Linked DNA regions of Drosophila melanogaster. The protein of the gene in region 1 binds, or shares a complex with, the protein of each later gene. Each region holds a gene or a part of one and is shown in the gene's direction. Other genes may lie near its edges.

Evidence for each region.
Region 2: MED20 (region 1) and MED26 share a complex: the UniProt entries of both Drosophila melanogaster proteins name them as parts of the mediator complex.
Region 3: MED20 (region 1) and MED7 share a complex: the UniProt entries of both Drosophila melanogaster proteins name them as parts of the mediator complex.

Annotation. Positions count from the first base shown.
Region 1 is NT_033779.5:8,070,933-8,075,118, reverse strand, and holds MED20 (mediator complex subunit 20), read left to right. Parts: upstream 1-2,270; 5' UTR 2,271-2,357; coding exon 2,358-3,116; coding exon of another isoform or gene 3,117-3,164; 3' UTR 3,165-3,307; downstream 3,308-4,186. Other genes in the region: Mcr (macroglobulin complement-related), read left to right, coding at 1-163; Trf (TBP-related factor), read right to left, coding at 1,403-1,922, 1,994-2,148; poe (purity of essence), read left to right, coding at 3,553-3,671, 3,853-3,947, 4,071-4,186. UniProt on the Drosophila melanogaster protein: Component of the Mediator complex, a coactivator involved in the regulated transcription of nearly all RNA polymerase II-dependent genes.
Region 2 is NC_004353.4:785,583-790,538, reverse strand, and holds the start of MED26 (mediator complex subunit 26), read left to right. Parts: upstream 1-1,560; 5' UTR 1,561-1,644; intron 1,645-2,924; exon of another isoform or gene 2,925-3,087; intron 3,088-3,329; 5' UTR 3,330-3,392; coding exon 3,393-3,458; intron 3,459-3,512; coding exon 3,513-4,347; intron 4,348-4,956. UniProt on the Drosophila melanogaster protein: Component of the Mediator complex, a coactivator involved in the regulated transcription of nearly all RNA polymerase II-dependent genes.
Region 3 is NT_033777.3:10,759,175-10,762,935, reverse strand, and holds MED7 (mediator complex subunit 7), read left to right. Parts: upstream 1-1,903; 5' UTR 1,904-2,002; coding exon 2,003-2,332; intron 2,333-2,393; coding exon 2,394-2,726; 3' UTR 2,727-2,865; downstream 2,866-3,761. Other genes in the region: Cap-H2 (chromosome associated protein H2), read right to left, coding at 487-689, 911-1,092, 1,320-1,353; CG31272 (uncharacterized protein), read left to right, coding at 3,747-3,761. UniProt on the Drosophila melanogaster protein: Component of the Mediator complex, a coactivator involved in the regulated transcription of nearly all RNA polymerase II-dependent genes.

The DNA of each region.
Region 1 (4,186 bases):
CATTTGTGAGGTGTGCGGCAGCTCTCAGTGTCCGTACTGCTCCATCTACAACATGGGCTGGCGCGCCTCCATGTCCATGTCCCTGCTCTTCTTCAGCGTATTCATATACCTACTGCGAAGTCGCACGCACCTGGTCCTAAACATGATGCAACTGCTCACATAGAAAGAAAACGAAACGCTATTCACAAAGTCACCCTCGAAACAACTTGCTAAGATTCGTAATGTTTTTGTTCATTTATTGAATGTGTTTACTTTGTAGTTTTTTGTTTTGAGTTGTAGTTTTTTTGTTTGCCAACGAAATTGCATTCCGTCCAAAAATGCTGGTCAACATTTTGGTTTTATTTTTAGTTCTTTTCAGTTTTACTCCACTGACCCGCTGTATAATTGAATGTACAAAACAGCAGTTAAACGTAAATTAGATTTTATTTTTATTGCTGAACAAAGAATCTTCTGCCACACGTAGCAGACCACATGTAGCCACCTAATGTATCTTGTAAGTCGTAACGAACCGTACTATGCCTTATCATAGAGCGGGCTCCAAGTGCGGAATGAAAAAATCAAACAATGTGTCTTTCACAAAATGCCTTTAATAGATTTTAGAAATCATTAGCGAATGTATCTTGACAAAAGTTTGCAAGCATATCGAATGGAAATTTATCTAATTTGTATTATCTAACTCTTGAATACATTTTTAAACGAAATGAAGTGAAAATCGTTGAAGAAACCGTCCAATTAATTTATGCAAATAATGAATCTGCATAGTTTGTAAGTTTTATACGTATATACGCCTTCATATGAACCACAATTAGTTTATAAATTCCCAACACAAATCTCACATAGCCATGTACATGAAGCTACTAAGCGAGAAACAAGGAAATTTTTGTACACAACTTAAGAATGTCGCTCCTTTCCGTACCATAAGAATCGAATCGAATCTCTATGAAGTGTCTTGTGTTTTCTTTTGTAATAAACGAAACCTGAAAATAAATAAAAGTAATGTTTATCCAAATGTGTTTTCTTTTCATGGAATGTGTTGGTACACTTCAGAATTTGTGGATTTGAATATTTTTCCCAAATTCCAGGAATGGGTACAAAAATGTATAAAAATTCAAATTACTTACAAATTTATTATTAATTCAAAGAATAGAATGAAATGGATTACAAGACATTAATATATAAAAATTTATTTAAAATAACAACAGTTTTTTTTAAATAAAAATTAATTTGCTTAGTAAGGCCAAAATAAAATCTTACAATTTCTATGAATTTACCCATGGAAATTATTAATTAAGTTGTTTCATTTCACATTTTATACTAAAAAAGTTAAGGTAAATATATTAAAAATATTGTAGTTATGGAATATAACTAAGCTAAACAAAAACATTTGGATGTGTAGAAACAACTACGTCTTGCGAAAACTTAGTAAAATAGGTGATATCGCCTCCAGGCAGTCCATAATGTCCTTGCGCGACTTGGCGCCCGTAAATACAACCTTTCCGTTGACGAAGATCAGGAGAACGATGCGCGGCTTGACCATGCGATAGATTAGGCCTGGAAACATCTCCGGTTCGTAGGAACTAAACTGCCCGTGCACGTGGTTGAGGTTCTCCAGGCGGATGGGGAAGCGCAGATCAACGGTGGCCACAATATTCTGCAGCTTGTATTCCATGAACTTTACGGGGAATCCCAGCTTCTGCAGGATGCGTGCGAACTTTCGCGATCCAATGTCCGCCTCAATCTCGTTTCGTGCACCCGTGCAGATGACCTTGCCCGTTCGAAAGATTAGCGCTGTGCACCTGGGCGAGTGCATTCGCATGATGACGCCACGAAAGCGCTTGGGCGAGTACTCCGAGTTCCTCGTACGCGAGTTGATTGCCTTGAGGTCCAGTTCACAGTTCACCGAGAAGGTGGCCACGATATTCCTGCAAGTTATGGATGTATCAATGGGTTTCTATTTATTTCATGAAGTGCCTCTGAAAAGTGGTCAACCAACTGCAATCGTATCTCATGTTGTGCATCCTTGGGCTCCACCAGGGCAACGGGCTGTTGCGGCTGCAGGGCTGCGTGCGGATTGGCGGCAGCATTGCTGGTCGCAGCCACATTATCCCTGTCCCTTTCAGCGTCCGCGACTTTAAAGTGAAACTGCATTGCCGAAAATTATAAACAAATCCGCACGCGACGTGGCCAGTGTTGTCCTATTTTATTGCTGACGAAAATTGTATGCCGGTTTGGTATTTTTATTTGTCTAACTTTTCTCATGACTAAAAAGTCAGCACTGGTCACACTGGACGCTTTTAGCTTGCAAGACTTGTAAACAAAATTAATAAAACTAAAAAGCTGACATTATTGCATAAACTATGGGAGTAACTATCCTTCAACCGTATCCCTTACCCGAAGGCAAATCGGGTGCCCACATAATCGATCAGCTGAGCAAGCGTCTGCTCGCCCTGGGCGCCACACATGCCGGTCAATTTCTGGTGGACTGCGAAACGTTCATCTCGACGCCACAGCCGCACAATGGAGCACCTGGACGCGCAGTCCACGTCCTGCACAACTCCGAGTATCCCGCCTCCACGTTCTCGATCATCGACAATGGCACCGGCAAACAAGTGGCCATTGTCGCCGACAATATCTTCGATCTGCTCATGCTCAAGATGACCAACACCTTCACCTCCAAAAAGCAGACCAAAATCGAGTCCCGTGGCGCTCGTTTCGAGTATGGTGACTTTGTTATCAAACTCGGTTCCGTCACCATGATGGAGCACTTCAAGGGCATCCTCATCGAAATCGAGTACAAGTCATGCGTGATTCTGGCCTACTGCTGGGAAATGATACGCGAAATGCTGCAGGGATTCCTCGGCATTGCTGTGAATAAGGACTTTCCCTCCTATTTCGCTCCACAGACAATAATGACGGCAATGGGGCAACAGCAGCTGCATGCCAAGCACAACGACATCTTTGAGCCAATGGACACCGTGAAACAATACCTGGAGCAGTTCACCAACTATAGGAAGCATGTGACTCTTATGGGCGGTATGGGCAGTGGACCGGGTAGCCAACAGGTTGGTCCGAACGTGCATATGTCGCCGGCGGTGGCGGGACTACATCGATCCTGATCCGCCGACGTCAAGCTGGAGCCACCGGATGAGCCTGCAGCCGATTAAGATGTTTAGAAGATAATTTAAACAAAAAAAATATACATATGTCACTAATATTTAATAATTAAATAATCATTATTTTAAAGCTAGCATCACTAGTTTGCTTTACATATTTTAGACGAATAAACAAAACATTTATTAGCTTGTCCAAATACGTTTAAAATATTATAGTTATATATATATATATATATATATTTTGTGCAGTGTACAGTTTTTTTCATATATTGGTTATTCACTACTTTTTTATGTATTTTTAAAACAGCTGATTGGAATAATGATTAAAGCTGTGTGGTATCCCTGCTCGCACGGCATTTTACCGTTAATGAAATCTGGCCACACAGTAGGCCGAGTACTCAGTACTATCGGGCAAATTGACGAGATTATTTAAACAATAATGTCGGCCCACAGCGGCGGAACGGATTGGAATTCCGTTGTTAAAGCCCTGATACTTAACCGTACAGGAGCCTTAAACAAGAACGAAGTTGTTAATTTGCTCAAAGCTATCACGCGATGGTAAGTACAAACGATCATCTAGAACTTTTCGCCTACCGAATGGCGTAGTGAAAAATTTTCTGCTAGTGCAAAAAGTGACTTGCAAAATTAAATATGGCCGCTCCGGTGACGAAATAGCAAAAAGCTTTGAAAATTCTTTAATATCGAGAACTAACAACGCTCTATTCCGATATTTGCATAGCGAACATGACTTTTTCGAGGAGGAAAGCAATTTCACGCAGTTTTACACGGCCTTTGCGGCCCTGGCGGCGGACAAACTTATGCAAATCAAGACAAGTAAGTGCACCCTAATGATTTTTCGCCAAATGAAAACAAAACAAAGAAATGTTTGGCCAAGAATCGAGTGATTCACTTGCGCCAATTCGCGTTCGCTACATTTATCATCTTGGTGCTTTTCAGTTTGCCAGACGCAGATTTGTCAGTTGCACGATGCCACCGCCGTGCTTATCCGGTTTATTATCTATAGACTGCCCAGGGTGTCCGTCTACGAGACCAAGTGGCTCCTGGGCGCCCTC
Region 2 (4,956 bases), on another chromosome or scaffold:
GGCTTGATCCAAACTACTGAAGCTATATTTGGACTCGTCGAAGATCTCTTTAAGGATCACACAGACCACTTTTTCTTTTTAACTAGTAGAGTTAACCAGGATCCCCTTGAAAATATATTTGCGTGCGTTCGAGCAAAAGGTGGTAACTGCAGAAATCCTTCAGTTAACGAATTTAATATAATAATTGCCAAGCTCATATCTCTACACATTTTTAAATTTTCACAAAAGTCGAATTGCGAATCAGATGATGATGTTATGTTGCCAATAGAGTTCGATTCGATAATATATCAGCCTTTCGTTGAAAAAAAAGAAATACAGCAACAAGAATACTCTGTATCATTTTCCAAAATCGTGCAAGACAATGAGAGGTACTTTGACCAAAATATAGATAACTTTTTGTGCAATGATGTACCCATTGAATTAACTTCCAGTAGATATTTTGTTGGATATATTGCTAAGGGATCCAGTTGCGATAAATGCAGATCGGTAATTTTAAAAGAAACCGAGCATTTAACAGCTCCATCAGAGCTTTTTATACATGAGAAAAACTACTCAATAGAATCGGACTTCGGGAAATTAAGGGCACCATCTGATTTATTTTTTAATATTTACAAAATACACATTAAAGCTTTCGAAAATATTTTTAAAAATAATAAAAAACAAATGTGTATAAAAAAATTTATTGTTGAGCAATGCATTAAGTGCACAAATGAAAGTAGTGCCTTCCCATTATGGTTTTATGAAAATAATGAATGTTATGCACATAGAACAGATCTTTTAAACAAACTTATAAAAGTTTTGCTTTTTAAGCATTGTAAGTGGACTGTGATAGCTGATAGACAAAAAAAGCAAGCTAAGCTCAGCATTCTATCTCATGAATAAAAAAAATGAGCGTTATTTAAATAACTGACGACTGAAAAATCGAGCAATATATAATAAAAAACAATAGTTAGAAAAATAACTTAATTGGGGAATATGGAAATGTTTTAATGTTAAACATTAAAATATTTCAAGTCGACTCGAAGGTCATATACGTAAATATAAGACCCCATTACAATTGTAATGGCCTCCCCGTAGTGTTCCCTGGGTACCGACTATTACACATATTACACATAAATAATTATCAACATAAATATAAATATGTAAACGGTAGCTAATTCGAGCGGCGATTTTAACAAACGAATTTAAAAAGCTTTAAAATTAAAAAATTTTAAAATTAAAATTAAAATTTTAAAATTATAATAAGAAGGGCGCGAATTTTTAAAAATTATTTTATTTCATCATATTGCTACGAAATTGGCAAAAAACTACCCTAATATGTACAATGTAAATTCATTTCTTTGATCAGAATTGATTTCGGCCCGAAAATCGTCTTCTAGCACAACACCCACACATATACGCGTTCCCGTCTCTTGTTTTTACTCACACAAGCAAGCAAATTCTATTTTTAGATTTCTTATGTTCTCAGCGTGAGCGAGCGGAAAGAGAGCAATTTTGGCCGTCACCAAAAAAGTGGCTGCATAGTGCCAAACCAATGTATGGCCGTTACGCATCTTGTTATTCTAGTGTCTTTGGTATGGCCGTTACGCATCTTGTTATTTATATGGCTTTGAATAGACCATGTGCAGTGTGATTAATGTGGGGGTATGTATTAAAAACGACATATAATATAAGTATATTTATGTATGTGCAAAAGGAATATATCAGGATATTTCGGTAAGAGCGACAAACCAGCCAAGTGTGAATTTATGAAGTTGATGCATCTATATTTTTGCAAATCTCAAGTTTATATGCAGAAGAGTCACTGTCGTTATATTTGAATTTTGCTCACTAGCGGAGATGATTAAATTTTTTATTATTGTACTGAAATACAAAAATGTTTTTTAAACTTAATTAGCATTTTAAGTAATAATAGTTTTTCTCCGGTATTCTAACGTTACCAGTGTGAACGGATCGGACAAGCATTCTTCCTAATTTAGTACTACTAACCGTTTATATTCCAATTACACTATATATATGGACACAGTCAGTTTTGGTTTTTGTCAAACACGGAAACACAGTATAAGCATGGGGTAGCTCAGTTCTTAGACGGGAAGGTCAATAAAATCTCTTCTGCTCGAGGTTCAGAATAAGAATAATATTATAGAACATATTAAAAAAAAAGCCGCTGTGGTAAAATGTGAATATAAAAAATTAAACATATTCTTTTTCTGTTGCTTATTAAATGTAAAATATATTCTTATATACAAAAGGCTTCCAAAGGTTTTGCAATAAGAAAAAAATATATACTCGATTTTGGTGCTGAAGGATAGTACTATAGTTTACTTTTTTTCAATTGTGAGATGATCCCTTAACCCAAGTTATGGGGTTTGGTAATTGTAAGCCATTTGTTTGTTTTTTGTTTTTGAAGAACACCGAGAGCATTTGTTTTGTACAAATCCTATATATACACACTTTTTTCAAATATTTCGCATTGAAATGAAAGAGTTTAAGAATCTTTATATATCCTTAACAAAAAAAAAACGGCATTGCTAGTCCGAATAAAATAAGTTAAGGGTAAAAAAACAAACAATATTTTAATATTCTCCATATTAAGTAAAGCGGGTAACTGGACGGAGAATCTACGAAATCGTTTTATATTTTACAAAATATATAGGACAACGGGAAAATATCCAAACCACAAAGCAACAAAACCTTCATTTTCTGGTCTGGTATATTTGACCCTTTTTTCATTTTGAGATTCACGCATTTAGCCCAAAAATGGACGTTTACTTTATATAATACTCCTATAGGTTTTCATGTCACATATAATACAATTCCTCTTCAATTCTGTTTGATAGCAGTATGATCAGGCCTTCCTGTTAAAAGAAATTCACGTGAAAGTATATCGATAATAATTGTTAAATACTTATCGATTTTCTGCCACCCTTGAAGTGCAGCTGTCATTGGTAAAAATGGCGAATTGTAATAAAGTCGGGAAGTCAACCATAAATTATTAATTTTCCTTATTTTGGACAAATACAAATTTTCATATTCAAGGAAGTGCGCTCAGGAAGCACAGACTTTACATTCGAAGTGTGCATATTTGTAAGCATAACGATTGAGCAATACACGTTTTGTATTGGTATGAGTGTTTCACAGACACGCTACTAACTCGGGTATTAAAATTTTTGAACTTCTGGGTCTTTAAACTTTACTTAATAGCAATTTTACGGCTATTTATAATAGTATTTATTTTGCAACAACGTGAAGTGAATACACTATAACTTTTTACTTTCTACCTACTACTTACTTTTCTATTACTTTCCTTATTTTTCTAACTTGGACAGTATTTGCATTTCGCCGTCCCTTGAATCTGGATCAGGGCAATATTTACGCACCGCAAGATATAAATGAACCAAATCGAAATACAGGAACTTACTACTCACCTATCCCAGGCACTTGATCAAAACTACGATGTAAGAAAACGTATTACCTTATCAACAAATCAGTTAATGTAAAGATCTTTTCAGGTCGTCAATATGGACGCAGTTCTCTGTGTCATATGTGCATTGGAGGGTACAACTATCACCAAGGAGCAGTTGGAGGCCACCAGATTGGCTAAGTACATAAATCAGCTCAGAAGAAGGACTAAGAATGAACATTTGGCTCGACGTGCAAAATCCTTGCTGAAAAAGTGGCGGGAAATGGTAGGAATTCAGCAAACAGCCACTGAAAATTTGGCACATCCCAGTCAAATTTCATCTTCACAACCAGCATTAGATTTGGTTAAGTCCCCTATCACCAGCTTTATTACAGAACCAATTGCTCCTTCGCAGCAAATAGTTTCAGATTTGCATTCAAATATCGACTCTGCGGAGCCTCCGCTTTCGGGTGAACATACCCTACTTCATCCGAACTTCTCCAACCTTGTAAATAGTATAAAAGATAGCGATCGCCACGAAAACATCGCTATAACGACATTGCATACTCACAAGGATCGGCGACATTCGCATTCCATCCGAAGTTGCCACGTGGCCTCTCCTCAGCCCATCGTCATAGATCATTCGGTAAATTCCGTGATTAACTTGACCGATGACAGCACCGTGAAGATAAACGAAGCTTCAGTTGTTATTGACATAGCTTCGGATTCCGATGAGAATGACAATAACGGTTCGTTAAATCCAAAAAAATTAAACTCAATTGTTCCTGCGCCACTTCCAATACCATCTACACCAAGCTCACGGCAACGCAAATTAAAAAAGGAAAAAAGAAGTAAGGAAAGAGAAGGACAGGTCGCAACAAATACAAGATTTGGTGCAAAAGCCAGCGACGGGTTTCAACAGGCCGCTCTGACAACAGATTCGGGTATGATTCAATTGTATTTGTCTTTGTGTCTATCCTTGCAGAAGCTCAAAGAAGCTGGGTTCGGAAAAATGGAATTTTCGAAATTTGAAAGCTGGAATCGTGTGCCCACCAATTAGTTTTTTTTTGTCCACGTCCAGTCTTTGAGATCTGAATTTTCAAAAAAGTTCGATAATCAAAAAGTGTACTTTTTCAAAAATTTTATATTTTAAATTGCAATAACATCGTTTGCCAACACTTTTGAATTTTGAAAAAACGTATACTTTAGAAAATATAAGACATTCAAGTTAATCTCGGTCTATTCAGAGAATAGAGCGTTTGACCATCTCTTAAAACTAAATATTATCAATAAAAAACGTTTGCCCAACCATTATTATTAGTTTTTATCGTTTTCCCACCCTTAAGAAAACCTTTGACAAATTTTTTTTTTCGATTGCCCGCACTTAAAAAACCAATAACTTAAATAACCAATTTCTTTAGCCCACCTCTTTAAAATGAATATTTTCAGCTTCCAGCTTTTTTGAGCTCAGTGCAGAGGGTGTTTATAACGCAATTGGATTTTCTCATCTCCAACGCTTCTCTAACGCCCACAAATTGCCACACTTTTCAAAA
Region 3 (3,761 bases), on another chromosome or scaffold:
ACTTAAATATTATAATGAAATCATCTTATGTTTAATCAAAATACTGGTGCTATCTTTAAAATTAATTAGACTTTCAACATTTAGGTCAAATAATCTCCCCAAATTCTTTAATGCCGGCTGATAAGAAAGAATTTAAGTGAATTATAATGTAAAAATATTTATTTAGGATGTGATCTATCTCTGAATAACTTGTTATTTTTATGAATGAACTGTCTACGTTTTTAGCTTCACTTGTCTGGTTAATTTCTCATTTCTTTATATACTCTGTTTGTTATTTGTTTTTGGAAGCACGAGAACGTGCCCTATCGTCCATTAACGGCAAGCCGGCTTCTGTGATATTAATGCAAACAAAGCCGAAGGGGGCGTAAAGTGAAGCTCGATAAGCGGAATTCTGGACCGAAAAGAGCCAGCAATGGCGACAAGTGGGGAGCACGTGGCCTTGTCTTTCTCCATCTTCTTAACTCTTCAGTTCTGAGTTAAACTTACGCAGCACTTCCGCTAGGGGTCTCCTTCTGCAACTCCGATGTGAGCAGGGCTTCGATCTGGTGCTCCACCACCTGGCACAGGTACTCCACTCGGTCTCCATAGATCTTGCCGCAGTACTGGAGGGCACTTCCTGCGGCCACGATGGCCGATCTTCGAGAGACATCATTTCGTCCTAAGCAGTGGCGCAGTAGCTCTTCAATATACTGAAAATATAAGCAATGTATTTGAGGATCTGCAGGCTTTTGTGTTCACTGTAAATAAAATAATAGATTTTCTTGAAAACCCATTTATATAATTTTAGTTAAAATACCAGTTATCGAGGCATGACTGTAAAACCCACGCACGTTGCGTCACACTTTTATTTTGATCTTTCTGCTCTTCGGCGGTTTTGCTTATCTTGATAATAGTGGTCTTCAACACTCACATATCCCAGTGATATCCGTAGGTCCGTGGAGTAGTCCGTGTTTTTGGAGAGCTCTTCGAGGAGGACGACTAGCGAGGCCAGGTCCTGTTGCTCATCGTAGGCGCGGATGCACTTGGCCACTTGGGTTCCCGGCCGATTCTTGGCTATTTCCAATATCTGCTCCCGCGCTTCGCTCAAGTAGGCTGTGAATTAAATAGAAACCGATTGGATTTACTTAAGCAAAAACCACACACCCAATCGCAGATCCGCTTTATTGTTTATTTCGGCCCTCCCCATACACACACACACACACTCGCATAGAAGCACCAACACACGCGGTATACTGGAAATAGCGCTGACTTAATCAATGGGAAACGAAGATCACGCCTGGGGCTGTCCTGCGTTGGTTACCTAAGTTCTGGATGCTTACCCGCTTCCGCTTCTTCAGGCAAAATCCGCTCCATGGCTCACTAGATGACACTAGGAAAAGTTTGTTTTATGTCCGGTTTTGCACATTTTACTGGCATCGTGCACAAGCACTGCAAGCACGCACACACGCTGAGTGGGGAAATCAAAATGGTGGAGGCAGCACGGCTTGTCTCTTAGTTGGGTCCAGTTATGTTATGGTTTTACGTTTTGTTTTCATTTCTTTGGCAGGAACAGGAATATTGGCGCGAATCGGTGCTGGAACAATTAGCTATTCACATCAAGATATATATGTGTTTCTTATTTTGTTGTGCTCTACCGACGAATGAGGGAAGAGACGGAGAAAAATTGCTATGGCAATGCTGTAGGGGGTGCATGCAAGCATGGTCACCTTTAAGTTATCGATAGCTAGGCACGGTGAATCATTTATTATTTCGAGCTCGATTAATATCTAATTTAATTTTTGTAATTGTAAATTATTTGTCAGTGTCTCAAAACATATTATAATAAATTCTGCTTATTATTGCATTGTCTAGCTTCAAACCTCTAGTGTGCTCATTTTTAAGAAAACAATTTGAGTGATAGTGTCATCACTATCGTGAGTGATTCGCCTGTCTCAGGTGCCATCACTTCTTCAAAACAAAAATCATTTATTATTTTTGTATTTCCGCACTTGTTAATCTCATAATGTCCAACCAGGAGACCCAGGTTTCCAGCCTGCCGATGCCGCCGGAGCGGTACATCGCCAATTACACGGACGAGAATATCCGCCGCAACCGAGCGCCACGCCCACCGCCGCCGCCGGCGCAGCACGAAGTCTATAGCATGTTTGGCATCCAGTACAACAACGACGAGATGATCCGCAGCTTGGAGTCCCAGAATATTAAGCGACTGATCCCCATCCATTTCGATCGGCGCAAGGAGCTCAAGAAGCTTAACCACTCCCTCTTGGTCAACTTCCTAGATCTCATTGACTTTCTTATCCTGAATCCTGACAGCCCGCGGCGCACGGAAAAGGTGAGTCAATTGACCCATTAAAATGTAGCATCTATTGTATTACACTCATTTGATATCTTAGATTGACGATATCAGTCTGCTGTTCGTCAACATGCATCACCTCCTCAATGAATTTCGCCCACATCAGGCGAGGGAAACGCTGCGCGTCATGATGGAAATGCAGAAGCGGCAGCGCGTTGAGACCGCCGCCCGTTTCCAAAAGCACTTGGAACGTGTGCGCGAGATCGTTAATACCGCCTTCTCAGCTCTGCCGGTTCTAGATGATGACGACGATAGCGGCGGAGCAAAGATTAAGACGGAGGTGGATCCGTTGGAGGCGAATGCGGCGGCCAAGAATGATCCCAGTTACCAGCACGATCGCATGTTGTGCAAGCTTGTGGACGCTATCGAGTAAGCTGAGTTGGCAAAAGACTGGACATCGACGCTGGAAATAGTGTCAATCATTGTGAATGGCTTGGAAAAAAGAGCTCCTCATATTTATAACTCCTTTTAGTATAAGAAATAAAACCCCAATTGTGGGATGAGAATCTTGCACGTCTAATGAGTAATTCATTCAATGGGAATTAATGTGTTAAGTCATCTTTGAGATAAGCTTTACACAGATAAGATCCGAGATAAAGGCTCATGATTAAGCATCCCACAAATTTCACCATTAAAATGACGTAGTCAGCGTGGAGTAATAATATAGTCAAATGTCATAAATTAATAATCTATCTAGAACAATTTATTCAGGATAGGAATAACAATATAAATGTATATATTTAATTGTAAAAATTGTAAAGACATGTGACATGACATGAGACATGAACACCTCACACGTTTTCCTACTTTTAATGGGTGCTACCGCATGGCATCATCGTGGCTAGCCGAAATATGCTCGTACAGTGCGTTTCATAATGTACATATACATATGTGGTTTTAATGAATTTGTATGGAGTTTCATCAAAATTACTAATTTTGTTTGATAAACATGATTAAAAAGTCAATAGAGATATTCATTCACAACTGGAGTATAATGTTTTCCCTAAAATTTTTTTAACTCACTGTGCCCTTTACAAAATCCAACGTGTTTTTCTAAATAAACATGGTTTAATACGTTTATTAGCTTTCTTAGATTGTAAAGCCCGCGATAAGAGAGATGTAGTTAAGTGAATCTTCACTTTTATTGAAGTAATCTCCGATAAAAGGAGGTGCCATGCGCTCTAGATGATCATTTCTCGTGCAGCATTGCAAGTGTGCAAGTCGGTTGAATAGGAATATTTTGAAAACCCTTAACTCATTGACTTTGAACTTAATTTTTTAAAGAACTTGTGGTTGCGCTTTTTAATTAAGAACTGCATCGTATTAATTGAACAATCAATTTCAAGAGCAAGCCGATTGTGAAAACCCATGGTGACAAACAGTAATAGCTAAGATGTCGGAAAAGAAT